Arabidopsis thaliana: one gene and its partners. The protein of the gene in region 3 interacts with the protein of the main gene of each other region in a pairwise test. Each region holds a gene or a part of one and is shown on either strand. Other genes may lie near its edges. The genes, in order: AT1G31130, VP2 and AT5G55380.

Region 1 (3,787 bases), on a different chromosome or scaffold from region 3:
AAACCTTGAGATCAACAGTTTCTATTTAGATAGGGACTGCTACTTTTGTAAGTATGGTTTGGATGGTTCATTAAATAATAATAGGTATTCTTACTAAATTTATTAAATAATAATAGGTATTTCTTTAGTTTGTGTTAGGATATGCTTATATTTAGGGAGAATTAGTTGTTATGACTTGTGAATTCGATTTAGGGTTTGAATGGTTATGGCGGTTGGGACGGACAAAACCGTCAACGAATCAGACTATTTTTATTTACAATTCATCAATGACCAAAAAAAATAGAAGAAAACCGCAGCGGATCATCTACGGACCGTTTTTACATACAAATAAACTTGGTCCGCAGCGGTTTATTGTTCGCCTCAAAAATGAGATGGACTAAATCGCAGACAAATTAAACCGCTTTGTCCGCTACCTCCATTCATAGTCTTACTGTTATAAATTACGTGTTGGGGTATTTATTTATTTTTCAATATTTTGATGATACACGGTCTATTATTTTTCTTGTAATAAGGCTTTAAGAGGCAAGTGTTTAGTTTAAGTATTGGTTTATTACATTCCATTAGTCATTCGATTAAAGTAGCTAGTGTAGAAAGAACCTAGTGCCAGAAGAAAAAAGATTAAAACACATTCGATTAAAAACACATTTGTTACATATCTTTATAAAAGTTAGAAAACCAAAACAAAAGTTGAAACTTGAGAGTATATAATCATGGACCGGCCGGTCTTGTCCATTTCTTATATTTCTCTATTCGAAATTGAAAGTATAATTAAAGAAATCGTGTGTGTAGGATAGTGCTTATACACCAACATTTGATTGCTAGTTCTATTTCCTTACGTAAACTTATAAGATCTCCAAATTAAACACATACAAAAAGTTACAAGTTCAATATTCATTGCAAAGATAATTTTCACATCTATTAATTATGTAAATTAGTAGTATTTAAGTTGACATGGACAGTTAACTGTTGGGACCATCGGTCCATGTGATTTCCCTGCACCTCAGATTCAGTGGAAGTAAGCATTAATCTTTGATTTTGTTTCTATCATAAATTAACTTCATCAGAAAATTTATTAATCCTATTTCAAACAAGGTCGTATCAATAAAACTTTTTTTTTTCTTCTTCGTATTAATAAACTTTTAACATCATTAATTTTCTGTTTGCTCTTTTTAAAGTTTTGATCCTGATTTCCTCATTATTACGTGAAAACAAATCAAAACATACATAATCACACATACAACCGAAATATCAAACCATTAAACTTTCATTTTTCAGATTACAATATTCAAAAAAAAAAAAAAAACAGATTACAACATTTCTGATATGTCGTTCAAATTAAATCATATTTATTCTTTGAACTTATTTATTTAATTTCAAAATGTAAATAAATAACATTAAAAAAATGTAGTACATATATATGTATTACAAATATGAAAATCTGAATACTCTTCTAGAGTATTCTTCACGGTGAATATTAGGTATTAGGTGCATAATTAAACTCTATCAAAATTAGATTTACCCTATCTTACCATTTCTTTGTAAGTATACAAGATTCATAAACTCTATAGAAAGTCTAGTTCCATGATTGCGTCTCAGCTCATGCAAAGAGAGTTGTGCTCATAAAACTTGACCAAATCTCCTTTTCCTTTTTGTCCATCTCTTTACCACTTACATATTTTCCCATAAAATAACGATTCCATCATATTAATTAAAGCAAAAAATAAACAATTAGTTGCCCCCCCCCCCCAAAAAAAAATGGTCACAATAACAATACTAGTCAAAACGTGTTATATGAGTTTCCCAGAAGTTTCCAAGGAAAAAAAAAGTCTTTACCCGTAAACATTTTTTCTCCATCTTCTTGATATCAACAAAACACACCTCAACAAAAAAAAAAAAACTTCATCTCTCTCAGATTTCGAAATTGACCCGTCGGTGATTCTTAATCTCTCCTCTCTGTTCTTCTCCGATCAAACCTCATTCCAAAGAAACAAACCATGGATCTCCAACCAGAAGAGCTTCAATTCTTGACAATACCTCAACTACTTCAAGAATCAATCTCAATCAAGAAACGATCTCCAAGAACCTTCTACCTCATAACCCTCTCCTTCATCTTCCCTCTCTCCTTCGCTATCCTCGCTCACTCACTCTTCACTCAACCAATCTTAGCCAAACTCGACAAATCCGACCCACCAAACTCAGATCGTTCACGTCATGATTGGACTGTTCTTCTAATCTTCCAGTTCAGTTACTTGATCTTCCTCTTTGCCTTCTCTCTTCTCTCAACCGCTGCTGTTGTCTTCACCGTCGCTTCTCTTTACACCGGAAAGCCTGTTTCTTTCTCGTCAACTCTCTCTGCGATTCCCAAAGTCTTTAAACGACTCTTTATAACTTTCCTTTGGGTTGCTCTGTTGATGTTTGCTTATAACGCAGTCTTCTTTGTCTTCCTCGTGATGCTTCTCGTAGCTCTTGATTTGAATAGTTTAGGTTTAGCTATTGTAGCCGGGGTTATAATCTCTGTTCTATACTTTGGTGTTCATGTTTATTTCACTGCTTTATGGCATTTAGGTAGTGTAATCTCTGTTCTTGAACCGGTTTACGGAATCGCCGCTATGAGAAAAGCTTATGAGTTGCTTAAAGGGAAGACTAAGATGGCTATGGGGTTAATCTTTGTTTATCTTTTCCTCTGTGGATTGATTGGAGTTGTTTTTGGTGCTGTTGTGGTTCATGGTGGTGGGAAGTATGGAACTTTTACTAGGACTTTGGTTGGTGGATTGTTAGTTGGTGTTCTTGTGATGGTTAATCTTGTGGGTTTGTTGGTTCAGAGTGTGTTTTACTATGTTTGTAAGAGTTATCATCATCAGACTATTGATAAGACCGCTTTGTATGATCAACTTGGTGGGTATCTTGGAGATTATGTGCCTCTTAAGAGCAACATTCAGTTGGAGGATTTAGATATTTGAAGATTTGTCAAGATGATGATTCTCTTGTACTGTTTTTCTTCTCTTATTACCATTCTCTCTCTCTCTTTGTAGTTTGTAATATTGGAGAAGAAGAAGAAATTTGGAATCTGAACAATAGTTTTAATGTAATGTGTATGTATTAGACTCAACACTCTTTGTTGTTGTTTTCATTTGATTATTATTACATGATTTGAGTTTACTAATTTATTCTTGTTGAAAGATGTGTTTTATTCTTCTCATGTTGATGATAATTATTATCCGTTAAAAATGTTGGGTTTTAGATGCTTAAATTGATAATAAATGAAGGAAGTGGCTTGTTTAGATATGTAATTAGCTGTAGGATTTGACCTTGGAATTAACCTACACTAAGTTAAGGTCGTAGGAGCAATTATTGTGGATACTTTTGTAATGTTTATAAATCTGAATTTTTGTTCGTGAGTGGGAGGTTTGGTTACACAACTTACACTAAACCGAATGGAAACCAAATTTAAAACTTAATTCAAAGAAGAAGAAGAAAACAAAAATACATCTTCATTCATTTTTAATCTGATTTTATCAATTTTTATTTTGTATTATGTGAATTTAAAGTTAGATGGTGATGTATCAACAACACTAACCCAAATAGTAACTAATGCTAAATATCGTGAATCATGATCAATGAAACAAATTTGGAATAATAAGTCAATGTGAATCATGCAATGTTTTGTTTTGTTACCCTGATCATGCATTGTTTTGTTTTGGAACAAAAATTGTCCTTTTTTTTGTTAATATATAAATGAATGAACCATATACATGCCACATAGATAACAAAATTTCGGTGAATCATG
Region 2 (7,820 bases), on a different chromosome or scaffold from region 3:
GTGTTCTTAGTTGGACTATCACTGAAAAGTGGTAAAAACATTGTTAGAACTGACACCGGCTAAATTACATGACAACATGACTTGGTATGACAAAAATGTGAAATTACGGAAACCAACCCAGCTGATCCTAAGAACATATGATGTCATCAGAATCTTTACACAAACAATTACAAACTGGAATAAAAAGAAGGAAAATGACAAACAGTAACATGGTGTAAATGACACAGTTATGACTTGGACTTCACTTAACGCACCTTCCCGTGGGAAGAAAGTCACCAAGAGCAAAAACCAAACCAAATACAACAACAGCTATGCCAACTCCAACCTGTCATGGCATGGGCCCAAGTTTTGTCATGTTATGTATGAGTAGCTTATAGGCCTCAAGTGGTTTTAGAACAAAATAAAAAATAAACACTTGCAAGATGTTATGTATGCGTACCTTAGTACCAAGACCAATTGTTTTCTGGTCAGACTTGACTGGTGCATCATAGTCAATTGGACCAAATTCTTTAACTACTTCTGTCTTTTTCTGCTCAAGAGCTGACCTGATTCATCAAAAGAGCAGAGGTCACAGAAATAACATTCCGATCAGTGGGAGGACAATGATCTTGACTATGTCTAGGGGGTGAGGGAAGTGGAAAGCAAGACAAGTGATGAACAAATCAAGAAAAAAAAAGAATCAAACTTTCATAGGAAGATCATGTCGTTGTGGGTATAATGAGAAAGTCAAGTGTGATTGTCAGAGGAATAATCCTATTGTAACCTATATATCTCTAAAGCCAATCTTCATGCTAGAATCATAAAACATAGGTACCTTCTGATGTTTTCCAGCCGTTCATCGAAGTCTATATCAAAAGATCGACCAGATTTTCCTTCAAACTGAGTATTCAGACCAGGTGCCTCTGCAAACAAATGCAGGAGTTTCTTGAGCAAACCTTTCAATTGAAACCAACTTTTTGAGATAAACTGAAGAATGCAAAAATGAAGTTATGTTCGAGACACCATGAAGGAGAGCAGCAACATCTGTTACGTACAATATGCTTTAAAATCAAATTATACTTACTTCTGGGTACAGAAACAGACTGTTTAGAAGATGATTTCCTGCAGCAAAGAAGTCCATATGAAAATATAACAACAGCAATTTAAAATTCTAAATGCTTTAAACAAACACAAAAACTATTTATACCTTTGCTGCAATGCCGGGTCTTTCTCTTCCTGTGATGCGATTTCACATTTTTGTCTCAGTACTTTGAATCAACAAAATTAAGTTGAACAAAGAAGAATTTGGAATCAAACCTTTTTTGAGCCGAAGCCACGCTTAGGGTTAGAATCCGAGCAACGTATTCGAAATAGGAGAAGCTTCGAGTTAAATGAAACGGAGGTCGTCGCCGCTAGTGTCATCAACATCCTCTGTTTGTATTGTCCTAACCAAAACAGAGAATTTTCTAAGAAAGTTTCAAAGAAATAATGAGAAGTAACGGCTACGAAGAGAAATTCGTCCGCCGGAGATTGACGATGAAAGGTGAGCTCCGTGATCGGGCCGGTAAGATAACGTTAGTGGTTCTTCTTCTTCTTCACTTTGCAGATTGTCTATTATATGGGCCGAATGGCAAAACATAATTTTGGGCTAGGCCCATATAATATTCAAATGTTAATATTCCAAAATTGATGGGTATTTTTGATAATTTAACTCGATCTATATAATTTAACAAACGAGGATGATTTTAAGTTTTTAACTTTTTAAGTGAGAATAGTGATTAAGTGTCAACGACTCATTGGATAGGATGTGTCATAAAATTAGTATTGAACCACTGAGGAGTGAAAATAAAATTAAAGGTAGAAAAATTAATTTAGGAAAAAAATATTCGGAAAGTTCTGTGAAAAGTCTTCGGATTTAGAACGGAGACAGCGAGAGGATAGAGCGCTTCTTCGGCTACAACAAGCTTTCGCTAATGGCGGTTTCCTTCTGATCACTCTCACCGGAGCCGTCATCTTCTCTGTTTTACCGATTTTTAGGGTTTGTTTCCGGATAAACTCTTCGTATGCTTTTTTTTTTTCGTTGGATTCGTTTCTGGAAACGTATCCATTTCCTGTCTAGAGATCATGTGAATTTCTCTTAGAACAGAACTCAGATCTAAATTAAAGTAACGGTGCTTGATTCATTAAACTCGGAATGCAAAGTCCCTTGCGTTTTATTCACTGAAATCTTAGTCGATTAGATCTTGAGGTCTGTTTGTTAATCGCACTTTTCTGGGGAATTGATCGTAGAAGCAATTACGCTCATGGGAAATGATGAAAGTTATAGCTAAACTTTACTGTAGAACCTTACTCTGATTATATTTCATTTAAAAATGCTATTTGGTTGGTAAAGAGAAACATCACAACTTTTCATACTTTTCTATTTTTTTCAGAAATTTTGATTGTGGTGGAAACTTGTTGTGGCAACTCTACTGAGAAAGTTTGAAGAAGCTGGAATCAAAGATATAGCTAGAGTTAAGAGGGTTCATACTAACTTGTGCTCGTTTTGTGATGTGCTGTTGTTAACGTTTGGAGGAAAAAGTTGTAGTGTATTAAAATTCAGCGTCCGAGTTCTGGGGCGGAGTTGCCCCATAGCATTGACTTTACGCCTCTACACATAGTCCGAAGGGCTAATTCAGCTCAAAACATGATGATGGATGAAGATGTTGAGCAGGCCAGTTTGATGTCTTTCAATGACAGGCCTAGGGCTTTTCCCAACATGCGTAGTAAAACCTATAGTCCACTGGTACAACTTTTATTCCTCTCTTTCTTGAGTGCTTTTCTTTTTGCTTGCATCAGATCACTGAGATGCGTATTATAACTAGTTTCCTTCTATTTCGTTTAGCATCTTAGTTTCTTGAGCATCTCGTTTTCATTTTCTTTGAAATTGTATAAAGTTTAGTTGTTTTTTGGCAGATATTCCGGATTATTAGGAAATTAAATGTCCGTGTCCTTTCGATAATTCTGCTTTTCTGCTTCGGAGCAATCTTTTACATGGGGGCAAGTACTTCTCCCATCATCGTGTTCGTCTTCACAGTATGCATCATCAGCTTCCTTTTGTCAATATATCTAACCAAGTGGGTTTTAGCGAAAGATGAAGGACCTCCAGAGATGGTTGAGGTAAGCTCACTCAGATTATGTGGTGTTAGTCATGATGTTGACATTTTTCCTTCTTTGTTCTCATCAAAAATTTGTAATTCTAATTTGTGAGGTAATTCTCTTACTTATAGATATCAGATGCTATACGTGATGGAGCTGAAGGTTTTTTCAGAACGCAGTATAGCACTATATCCAAGATGGCCATTTTGCTAGCTTTTGTGATTCTTTGCATATATCTATTCCGTAGCTTAACTCCCCAGCAAGAGGCTGCTGGTTTAGGAAGGTGCTGATACATGATTACATTCACAAGATTTATTTTATCTTTTGAATTGTTGTGAATGAAGCTTAGCCATATTACTATTTTGCTGCAGGGCGATGTCTGCTTATATTACTGTTGCTGCATTTCTTTTGGGGGCTCTATGCTCAGGTATTGCTGGATATGTTGGAATGTGGGTGTCAGTTCGTGCTAATGTGCGGGTCTCCAGTGCTGCCAGACGATCTGCGAGAGAAGCATTGCAGGTTCTTCTTTAGTTTAGCTATTTTGGTAACATGTCATGTACACGTTTCCAAATACTAAGTGGCAGATATAATGCAGATAGCCGTTCGTGCTGGTGGGTTTTCAGCCCTGGTTGTTGTTGGTATGGCTGTGATTGGTATCGCCATCCTCTATTCTACATTTTATGTGTGGTTGGGCGTGGGTTCACCAGGCTCAATGAATGTTACTGACCGTAAGTCTTCTGCTCTTTTTTTTTTATGAAAAATATTCATTTTCGTCTTGTGTGTATATTCTATAATCATTGTACTGAGTTTCAAAAAGTTATTGTTATCTTTTCAAAGGATCATTTTCAGACATGAGCAGTATTTTCTTAAATATGTCATGACTTGTATTAATCTTGATTGAGGTGGGGTACCAATACAGTTCTAAGATTTTCAGTGAACCCTATATGTAATTCTCTTGATTTATTGACCAGAATTTGCATTTGCATGGGCGATAGTGGAGCTATTAAACTTGTAAGATTTATTGATTGAATTTTCTGTTTCTCTTACAGTACCTCTTCTTCTTGTCGGATATGGTTTTGGTGCTTCGTTTGTTGCCTTATTTGCTCAGTTGGGTGGTGGAATATATACTAAGGGAGCTGATGTTGGGGCAGATCTCGTTGGGAAAGTTGAGCAGGGAATTCCCGAGGATGATCCTCGAAATCCTGCTGTTATTGCTGATTTGGTATTTGATCTTTGTTCTTTTTGTTTCTTACTTTCTTGATTCTGTGATTCCCAAACGTGACATCCTTGTTTGGGGCATATATCACTCTACAAGGGTTTGCTTGTGTTTTCGTCATTTAGGCATTTAAAGCCATTTTCATCTTCTTGTAGGTTGGAGACAATGTGGGGGACTGTGCTGCTAGAGGTGCTGATTTATTTGAAAGTATAGCTGCAGAAATCATCAGTGCAATGATACTAGGTGGAACAATGGCTAAGAAGTGCAAAATTGAAGGTGCACCATCTCTCTTTAAAGTTACTTCTGGTATATGCAAATATATAACTTATGGTGTGAGTTCCTGACTCATACCGAGAAAATTAAATGAACTGCTAGGATTTTATAATCTGAAATGCAAACTTAGGAAGAGTTGCATAGAGAGTTCAAGCTCGTAAATTACATTCTGTATACAGAATAATCTACGCTTTATTGCATGTTTTGGTCACTCCTTGAGGATTTGAGGGTACATTATTACTTGTTAGGATTTAAAAAGTCGACATAAGTTGTATAGAGTTATTGTTTGAAGCACCTTGTACGAACCTGCTATGCATTGTGTGAAAATTGAAGGAAGACTACTTTTCATGACAGCAAGCTACACTTGGCTGCAGTCAAAAAATTTCAATAACATTACCCATTTCTAGCAGTGGTTGTTAGATATGCGCTGATAAACATCCTATTAAACCTCTTGTTCATGCTTGATACTTACTCAAATCTTTCTCTATTATGCAGATCCATCAGGCTTTATCCTTTTTCCTCTAGTTGTTCATTCTTTTGACTTGATTATATCCTCAATTGGTATTCTATCAATCAAGGGAACACGTGATGCTAGTGTGAAATCTCCGGTAGAGGATCCAATGGCTGTACTTCAGAAAGGATATTCTCTGACAATTATATTAGCTGTTATAACATTTGGCGCGGTAATGTTGTCACACATAACCATTGATTGTCTTGTTCCTTTCATTCTTTTTACAATTAATTCTGCTTTTTATGGGCTTTTTGGTTCAGACTTTTCATTAGCCTACACTAGCCTTGTTATTACTGAAATTTCGAACAAATTCTTTGCTATATTCTTCTGACAGCATTATTTATGTTTGTAGTCGACTCGCTGGCTGCTTTACACTGAACAAGCTCCATCTGCATGGTTCAATTTCGCCCTATGTGGGTTGGTTGGCATCATCACAGCCTATATCTTTGTCTGGATATCCAAATATTATACAGACTATAAGCACGAGCCTGTTCGGACGTTGGCTCTTGCTAGCTCGACTGGTCATGGGACTAATATCATTGCTGGAGTAAGCTTGGGCCTGGAATCAACTGCTCTTCCAGTTTTGACTATAAGTGTAGCTATTATTTCTGCGTATTGGTTGGGCAATACCTCGGGTCTAGTGGACGAAAATGGTATTCCCACTGGAGGTCTATTTGGAACAGCCGTTGCTACAATGGGAATGCTAAGCACTGCAGCTTATGTCCTTACTATGGACATGTTTGGCCCCATAGCTGACAACGCTGGTGGGATTGTCGAGATGAGCCAGCAGGTAAGATGTCACATGATTGGCTTGAAAGGCTCTTATGTTCCATCTTTATTCTATGTAGAAATAATAAATGTTTCGTGCAGCCAGAGAGTGTCCGTGAGATCACTGATCTTCTTGATGCTGTTGGGAACACCACAAAAGCAACAACGAAAGGGTTTGCCATTGGATCTGCTGCACTTGCATCATTCCTTCTCTTTAGTGCGTATATGGACGAGGTTTCAGCGTTTGCTAATGTGTCTTTCAAAGAGGTAGATTTCGTTATGCATCGTTGCTGTATTCTCGATGTTGAGACAACTTCTCATACTCATCCTCGGATAAAATCAGGTTGATATTGCTATCCCAGAAGTGTTCGTTGGTGGATTATTGGGTGCCATGCTTATTTTCCTCTTTAGTGCTTGGGCATGCGCGGCAGTTGGTCGAACTGCACAAGAGGTTGTCAACGAAGTAAGAAGGCAATTTATTGAGAGGCCTGGCATAATGGTGAGCATATTTTTCCTTTTGAGTGCTTCACCTTTTCTTGTGTATTGGCTTGTACCGTTGTTGACTAGCAAATATCTTGTTGCAGGAGTACAAGGAGAAGCCAGATTATAGTCGCTGTGTCGCCATAGTCGCATCTGCAGCTTTAAGAGAAATGATAAAGCCAGGAGCTTTAGCTATTGCATCACCCATTGTAGTTGGTAAGTCAGTAATATCTACTCGTTTTTCTTTACTTACTGTATTGAAAGTTTGAAACCACAACATTGTGACCAAAAACAAACCTCTTGTTCTCTCTTTCAGGTTTGGTGTTTCGAATCTTGGGTTACTACACAGGACAACCTCTGCTCGGAGCAAAAGTTGTAGCTTCTATGCTCATGTTTGCAACAGTTTGTGGTATCTTAATGGCACTTTTCCTAAACACGGCGGGAGGTGCTTGGGACAATGCAAAGAAATACATAGAGACCGGGGCACTTGGGGGCAAAGGAAGTGAAGCTCACAAAGCAGCTGTGACTGGTGATACGTAAGTATTTTCGTTCTACTTCAACACTCATTCAAAGTTATATTCCTGAATACGATTTCTCATTAGAATTCATCTGAAAATTGTAGCGTGGGAGATCCGTTCAAGGACACAGCCGGTCCATCCATTCACGTCCTCATAAAAATGCTTGCGACTATAACTCTCGTCATGGCTCCGGTTTTCCTCTGAAAGTGAACCGTTACTTATCCATCCCGGCTTATTTACTCTCTTGCACATATACAAATAGAGAGGGAGAGAGGTTGGTTATAAAATGATTTACATGGATTAATGGTTTTTGTGTTTCATTTCATCTGAATAAATGAGATAATTCTGTTTTTGAGTTTAGAGACACTCTTTAAGGAATTCTAGAGACATTTTAATCAACCACATCTTTGACTTTGAGAGTCTTTATTTTCCTCGATTTAATCTTTCTAGTACTTCTTCTTACTCTTCTTGATTTGCCTCCAACTCGTACAGACAATTGTCTACTCGGTAGTCTTATGAGACGGCGGTTGTTGCGATTGCTGCCATGATGGTGGTGGCTGTGTTTGCTTCCTAGTCTTCTTCTTCTCTGCTTTGGTCTAATGTTATCTATTCGACTGGGACTGTCCGATGAACTTGATTCATCATCACTCGGATAATCATAGGTCGTAGCTTCTATATCATCGAGACGTTTTCTGCGACGGTTGACCCGATTTATGTTAGTCAAACTGTGACACAAGCAACTAATCATCTCTCCAATGTCGAACCAGTACGCTGCACAAGCGGCACATGACATTTTGCAGATACTTTTCACAACACATTGGCAAATTCCAAGCTTGAACAGGAGGGTGATGAACATCAAAACTGGGAAAAAGAAACAAATACAAAATTATAGAAAACAAAGGAAAGTTCACAGAATCAATAGTGAATGCTAAAAATC
Region 3 (3,951 bases):
GCTGGTAAGACACAAATTTCCTTTAGTATGAACTTTGTGTAAGCTCCAGTGTCATTGAAATAGTTTGAGTAGTATCTGACTGTTTATATTTTTGGAATTATGAGTAGATTATGGGGCTAAATCCACCATTTGGAGTCAATGCTTCTCTTGCAAACAAGTTTATTACCAAGGCTCTTGAGTTCCGCCCAAAGATTCTCATTCTCATTGTTCCTCCCGAGACTGAAAGGTTTCAGTTTCCATCTATCTCATCTGCTCCTCTGTACCATTCCATAACACTAATATATCGACTCCTCTCTCTCTCTCTTGTTAAATCTATCACTTTTCTCAACAGGTTAGATAAAAAGAAGTCATCATATGTGCTTATATGGGAGGATAAGACGTTCCTATCTGGAAATGTAAATCTTTCGCTTTTCTTTTGATTTTGCTTTTTGAGAGATTGAGCCTTTATTGAGTTTCAGTTACATGTTATGCTTCTTGCCTATTCCTTTCAGTCATTTTACCTGCCTGGTTCTGTCAATGAAGAAGACAAGCAATTGGAAGACTGGAACCTTGTTCCTCCGCCACTTTCTCTCTGGAGTCGGTCCGACTTTGCAGCCAAGCACAAGAAAATAGCGGAGAAGCATTGCCATTTGTCTAGGGATGTGGGGAGCTCAAAGTTAAAGATAGTGGAAGAAGAAGCAAACGCATCTTTGCATCCACTTGGAGCTTCTGATGGCATGTGTGATGATATTCCTATGGAAAAGGATGAACTTGAGGTAGCTGAATGCGTTAATAAAATCTTAGTCTCTGAGAAAATCGACACAGTAGAAACTGTAGCACGTGTACATCAGTCAGATCACTTGTCACGGAGAAGTCAGCTGAAAAAGGAGGGAAAGACCAAAGACTACTCTGGTAGGAAGCTTGGGAAATCTATGGATTCTAATAATGTGGATTGGAAGAGCAATGACATGGAAGAGGATCAAGGAGAGTTGAGTAGAGCACCAGAGAGCATCAAAGTAAAAATTCCCGAAATGACATCTGATTGGCAGAGTCCTGTTAGGTCTTCCCCAGATGATATATATGCTGTCTGCACATCAATTTCCACTACAACACCTCAAAGATCTCACGAGGCTGTAGAAGCATCTCTGCCTGCAATAACAAGGACAAAAAGTAACTTGGGAAAGAATATTAGAGAACATGGTTGTAAAGTGCAGGGCACTGGAAAACCTGAAGTGAGTCGGGATAGGCCTAGCTCTGTGAGAACTTCTAGAGAGGACATCTACACTGTTCGTCCATCGCCAGAAAATACGGGTCAGAAACCGTTTGAAGCTTTTGAACCATCTTATGGTGCAAGTTTGTCCCATTTCGACGATGGTCTTGCTGCTAAGTATGGTGGTTTCGGTGGAGGCTATAGAATGCCGGATCCTCCTTTCCTACCGGATCAGTTTCCATTGAGAAATGGTCCTAACGAGATGTTTGATTTCCGAGGATATTCAGACCTTGATAGAGGGATTGGTCAAAGAGAATATCCACAGCAGTACGGTGGGCACTTGGACCCCATGTTAGCTCCTCCTCCTCCTCCAAATCTGATGGACAATGCATTCCCATTGCAACAACGTTATGCGCCTCATTTCGATCAAATGAATTACCAGAGGATGAGCTCTTTCCCACCTCAGCCTCCATTGCAACCTAGCGGACATAATCTCTTAAATCCTCATGACTTTCCACTGCCACCGCCACCACCTAGTGACTTCGAAATGAGTCCAAGGGGTTTTGCCCCTGGCCCGAACCCGAACTACCCTTATATGAGTCGATCTGGCGGTTGGATTAATGACTAGATCAGCACTCATTATCCTTGTAGTTGCAACATTAGTAGTTTGATTGATCTTTTGTGTCTCACTCTACGAAAGTGTAGGAAGAATAGAAGAAATCTATAACTTTTCTCTGCCACTCACATGTGTAGCTAGTGGGCCTTTTAGCTGTTTAATAATATAAAAGAAAAAGAAGCCAGCTTCTATTGTCTTAAACTTTTGAGTCATATTTTGTGGTAATTCTTTAATACAGGACCACGTCAAACTCTGCTGCTTCCACAGAATTAGCAAACGACAGATCTGAGAAATGGAAGAAAAGTTTAGAAACTTAATCGAGGTATGGATCTCTGCTTTAATCTCTCTATCTTACTGTTATTACATATCGTCTAAACTCTCCAAAGGTGTTCTTCGTCTCCTCTCTATTCTTCCAGTCTGCATTCTGTTTCTTGTTCTTCCTCTGTTCCTCTCTTGTGTGCACTTTTGCGCCATTTCAGTTCTTTTTCTTTCATGGCTTGCAAACTTTAAGCTTCTTCTATTTGCCTTTGATGAGGGACCTTTGTTCCCACTTCCTCCAAAACTCTCCCGTTTCATCTGCTTCGCTTGTTTACCCATCAAAATCAGACAAGACCCTTCTCCAAATGCGATACCAAATCTTCATCCTAAACCTATGCCTAAATGGGTTTTGGCTGTTAAAATTTTGGTCTTGGGCGTCTTGTTACATGTTTATGAATACAGGGATGGTTTGCCTCGGTTTGTTGTCTTGGCTCTCTATTGTCTCCATATTTACCTTGAGGTAGAACTTGTCTTGGTCTTTGTTGGAGCCGTGGTATCTACTCTTCTTGGGTGTAACATCGAGCCGGTGTTCAATGAGCCCTACCTAGCTACCTCCCTACAAGACTTCTGGAGCCGCAGATGGAACCTCATGGTTTCAGCCGTCCTACGCTCAACCGTTCACATTCCGGTTCAGCGTTTTTTCAAACGCATACTCAGTCCAGACGGGGCTATGTTTGCTGGGGTCATGGCATCGTTCTTTGTCTCAGGCTTGATGCATGAGCTGCTCTACTTTTACATGATCCGTAAGCCTCCAACTTGGGAAGTCACTTGTTTCTTTGTGTTGCATGGTGCTGCCACTGCCACTGAGATAGCGGTGAAGAGAACACAATGGTTGAGGCCACCGCACCGGGCTGTCTCTGGTCTTGTAGTTCTGACGTTTGTGAGTGTGACGGGCGTTTGGCTATTCCTCGCTCAAGTGCTGAGAAACAATGTCCATGAGAAAGCGATTGGAGAATGTTTATTGGTTCTTGACCTAGCCAAGTTATTCACTTCTTCATGATTCTTTATTAAAGGCAAAGAGCGGTAGCAGAGCAACCAAACTTTGTTTCTCTTCATTGTTTGAAAACGTATATAGAAGTGTGAGACACGTCGTCTAGTGTGAAACATTCTTGACATGCTATTAAATTGAATCAAGCTCAACAAATTCAATAAATATGGCGTAAATGTTTTCTAAGTTCTAACAAATGATGAAATATGAACATCTTACTTTGTATATTATTAATGCAATATTTGTTAGAAGAATTTTAAAATAAAACAAACTCTGCCAAATCTATAATCTTACTTTAATCATGCCGCGTCGTTTGTCTGGATTTGTCATACGAACATTCCGAATCTATTTGGATTTCTTGATTTTATAATGTAAAAGAAAATGTAATATGGAGTTTTTTCTAAGATTCATTTATCTTTTACTTGCGAATTGAAAATCTGGTAAATACATATATGTTATTTCCAAATCATTAAATAATTGAATAATACAAGTTTAAAAAATAAAAAAAATGAAAGTACATGAGACAATAAACCCTCTAACTTTGAAGTTCTATCCTTTTACCTCTTTGAAAAAAATAGTTTTTGAATGATCCAAAATAAAAATGACGCAAACTTGACAAATTAGAAACGTATTACCAGTTATGGTTTTTGGCATTATTCATGTTCTTCTGGTTGTAGATAACATTATTTAAGTCGCATCATTATGAAACAGTTAGCAACCAACAGAACCAAGAGAGAAAAGATGGAAGAAGAGTTGAGAAACCTAATCAAGGTTTGGATCTCTGCCTTAATCTCCATATCTTACTGTTACTACATCTCATCAAAAATCTCCAAAGGTGTT

What was found.
Region 1: the proteins of AT5G55380 (region 3) and AT1G31130 interact in a protein complementation assay, tested with the Arabidopsis thaliana proteins (one large-scale study listed by BioGRID).
Region 2: the proteins of AT5G55380 (region 3) and VP2 interact in a protein complementation assay, tested with the Arabidopsis thaliana proteins (one large-scale study listed by BioGRID).

The regions. Positions count from the first base shown.
Region 1 is NC_003070.9:11,114,136-11,117,922, reverse strand, and holds AT1G31130 (polyadenylate-binding protein 1-B-binding protein), read left to right. Parts: upstream 1-1,727; 5' UTR 1,728-1,994; coding exon 1,995-2,960; 3' UTR 2,961-3,230; downstream 3,231-3,787.
Region 2 is NC_003070.9:29,669,675-29,677,494, forward strand, and holds the start of VP2 (vacuolar H+-pyrophosphatase 2), read left to right. Parts: upstream 1-1,820; 5' UTR 1,821-2,017; intron 2,018-2,105; exon of another isoform or gene 2,106-2,317; intron 2,318-2,411; 5' UTR 2,412-2,665; coding exon 2,666-2,764; intron 2,765-2,934; coding exon 2,935-3,138; intron 3,139-3,248; coding exon 3,249-3,400; intron 3,401-3,488; coding exon 3,489-3,636; intron 3,637-3,712; coding exon 3,713-3,845; intron 3,846-4,166; coding exon 4,167-4,339; intron 4,340-4,488; coding exon 4,489-4,609; intron 4,610-5,101; coding exon 5,102-5,289; intron 5,290-5,469; coding exon 5,470-5,907; intron 5,908-5,987; coding exon 5,988-6,152; intron 6,153-6,228; coding exon 6,229-6,384; intron 6,385-6,469; coding exon 6,470-6,581; intron 6,582-6,681; coding exon 6,682-6,901; intron 6,902-6,987; coding exon 6,988-7,087; 3' UTR 7,088-7,157; exon of another isoform or gene 7,158-7,274; coding exon of another isoform or gene 7,275-7,744; 3' UTR 7,745-7,820. Other genes in the region: AT1G78915 (Tetratricopeptide repeat (TPR)-like superfamily protein), read right to left, coding at 1-21, 77-127, 246-325, 440-545, 815-902, 1,064-1,101, 1,187-1,215, 1,297-1,407; AT1G78922 (uncharacterized protein), read right to left, coding at 7,275-7,744. UniProt on the Arabidopsis thaliana protein: Pyrophosphatase active in both inorganic pyrophosphate hydrolysis and H(+) translocation.
Region 3 is NC_003076.8:22,446,018-22,449,968, reverse strand, and holds AT5G55380 (MBOAT (membrane bound O-acyl transferase) family protein), read left to right. Parts: upstream 1-2,015; 5' UTR 2,016-2,097; coding exon 2,098-3,123; 3' UTR 3,124-3,345; downstream 3,346-3,951. Other genes in the region: EDM2 (ENHANCED DOWNY MILDEW 2), read left to right, coding at 1-4, 108-226, 332-395, 492-1,817; AT5G55370 (MBOAT (membrane bound O-acyl transferase) family protein), read left to right, coding at 3,853-3,951. UniProt on the Arabidopsis thaliana protein: Catalyzes the final step in the synthesis of long-chain linear esters (waxes).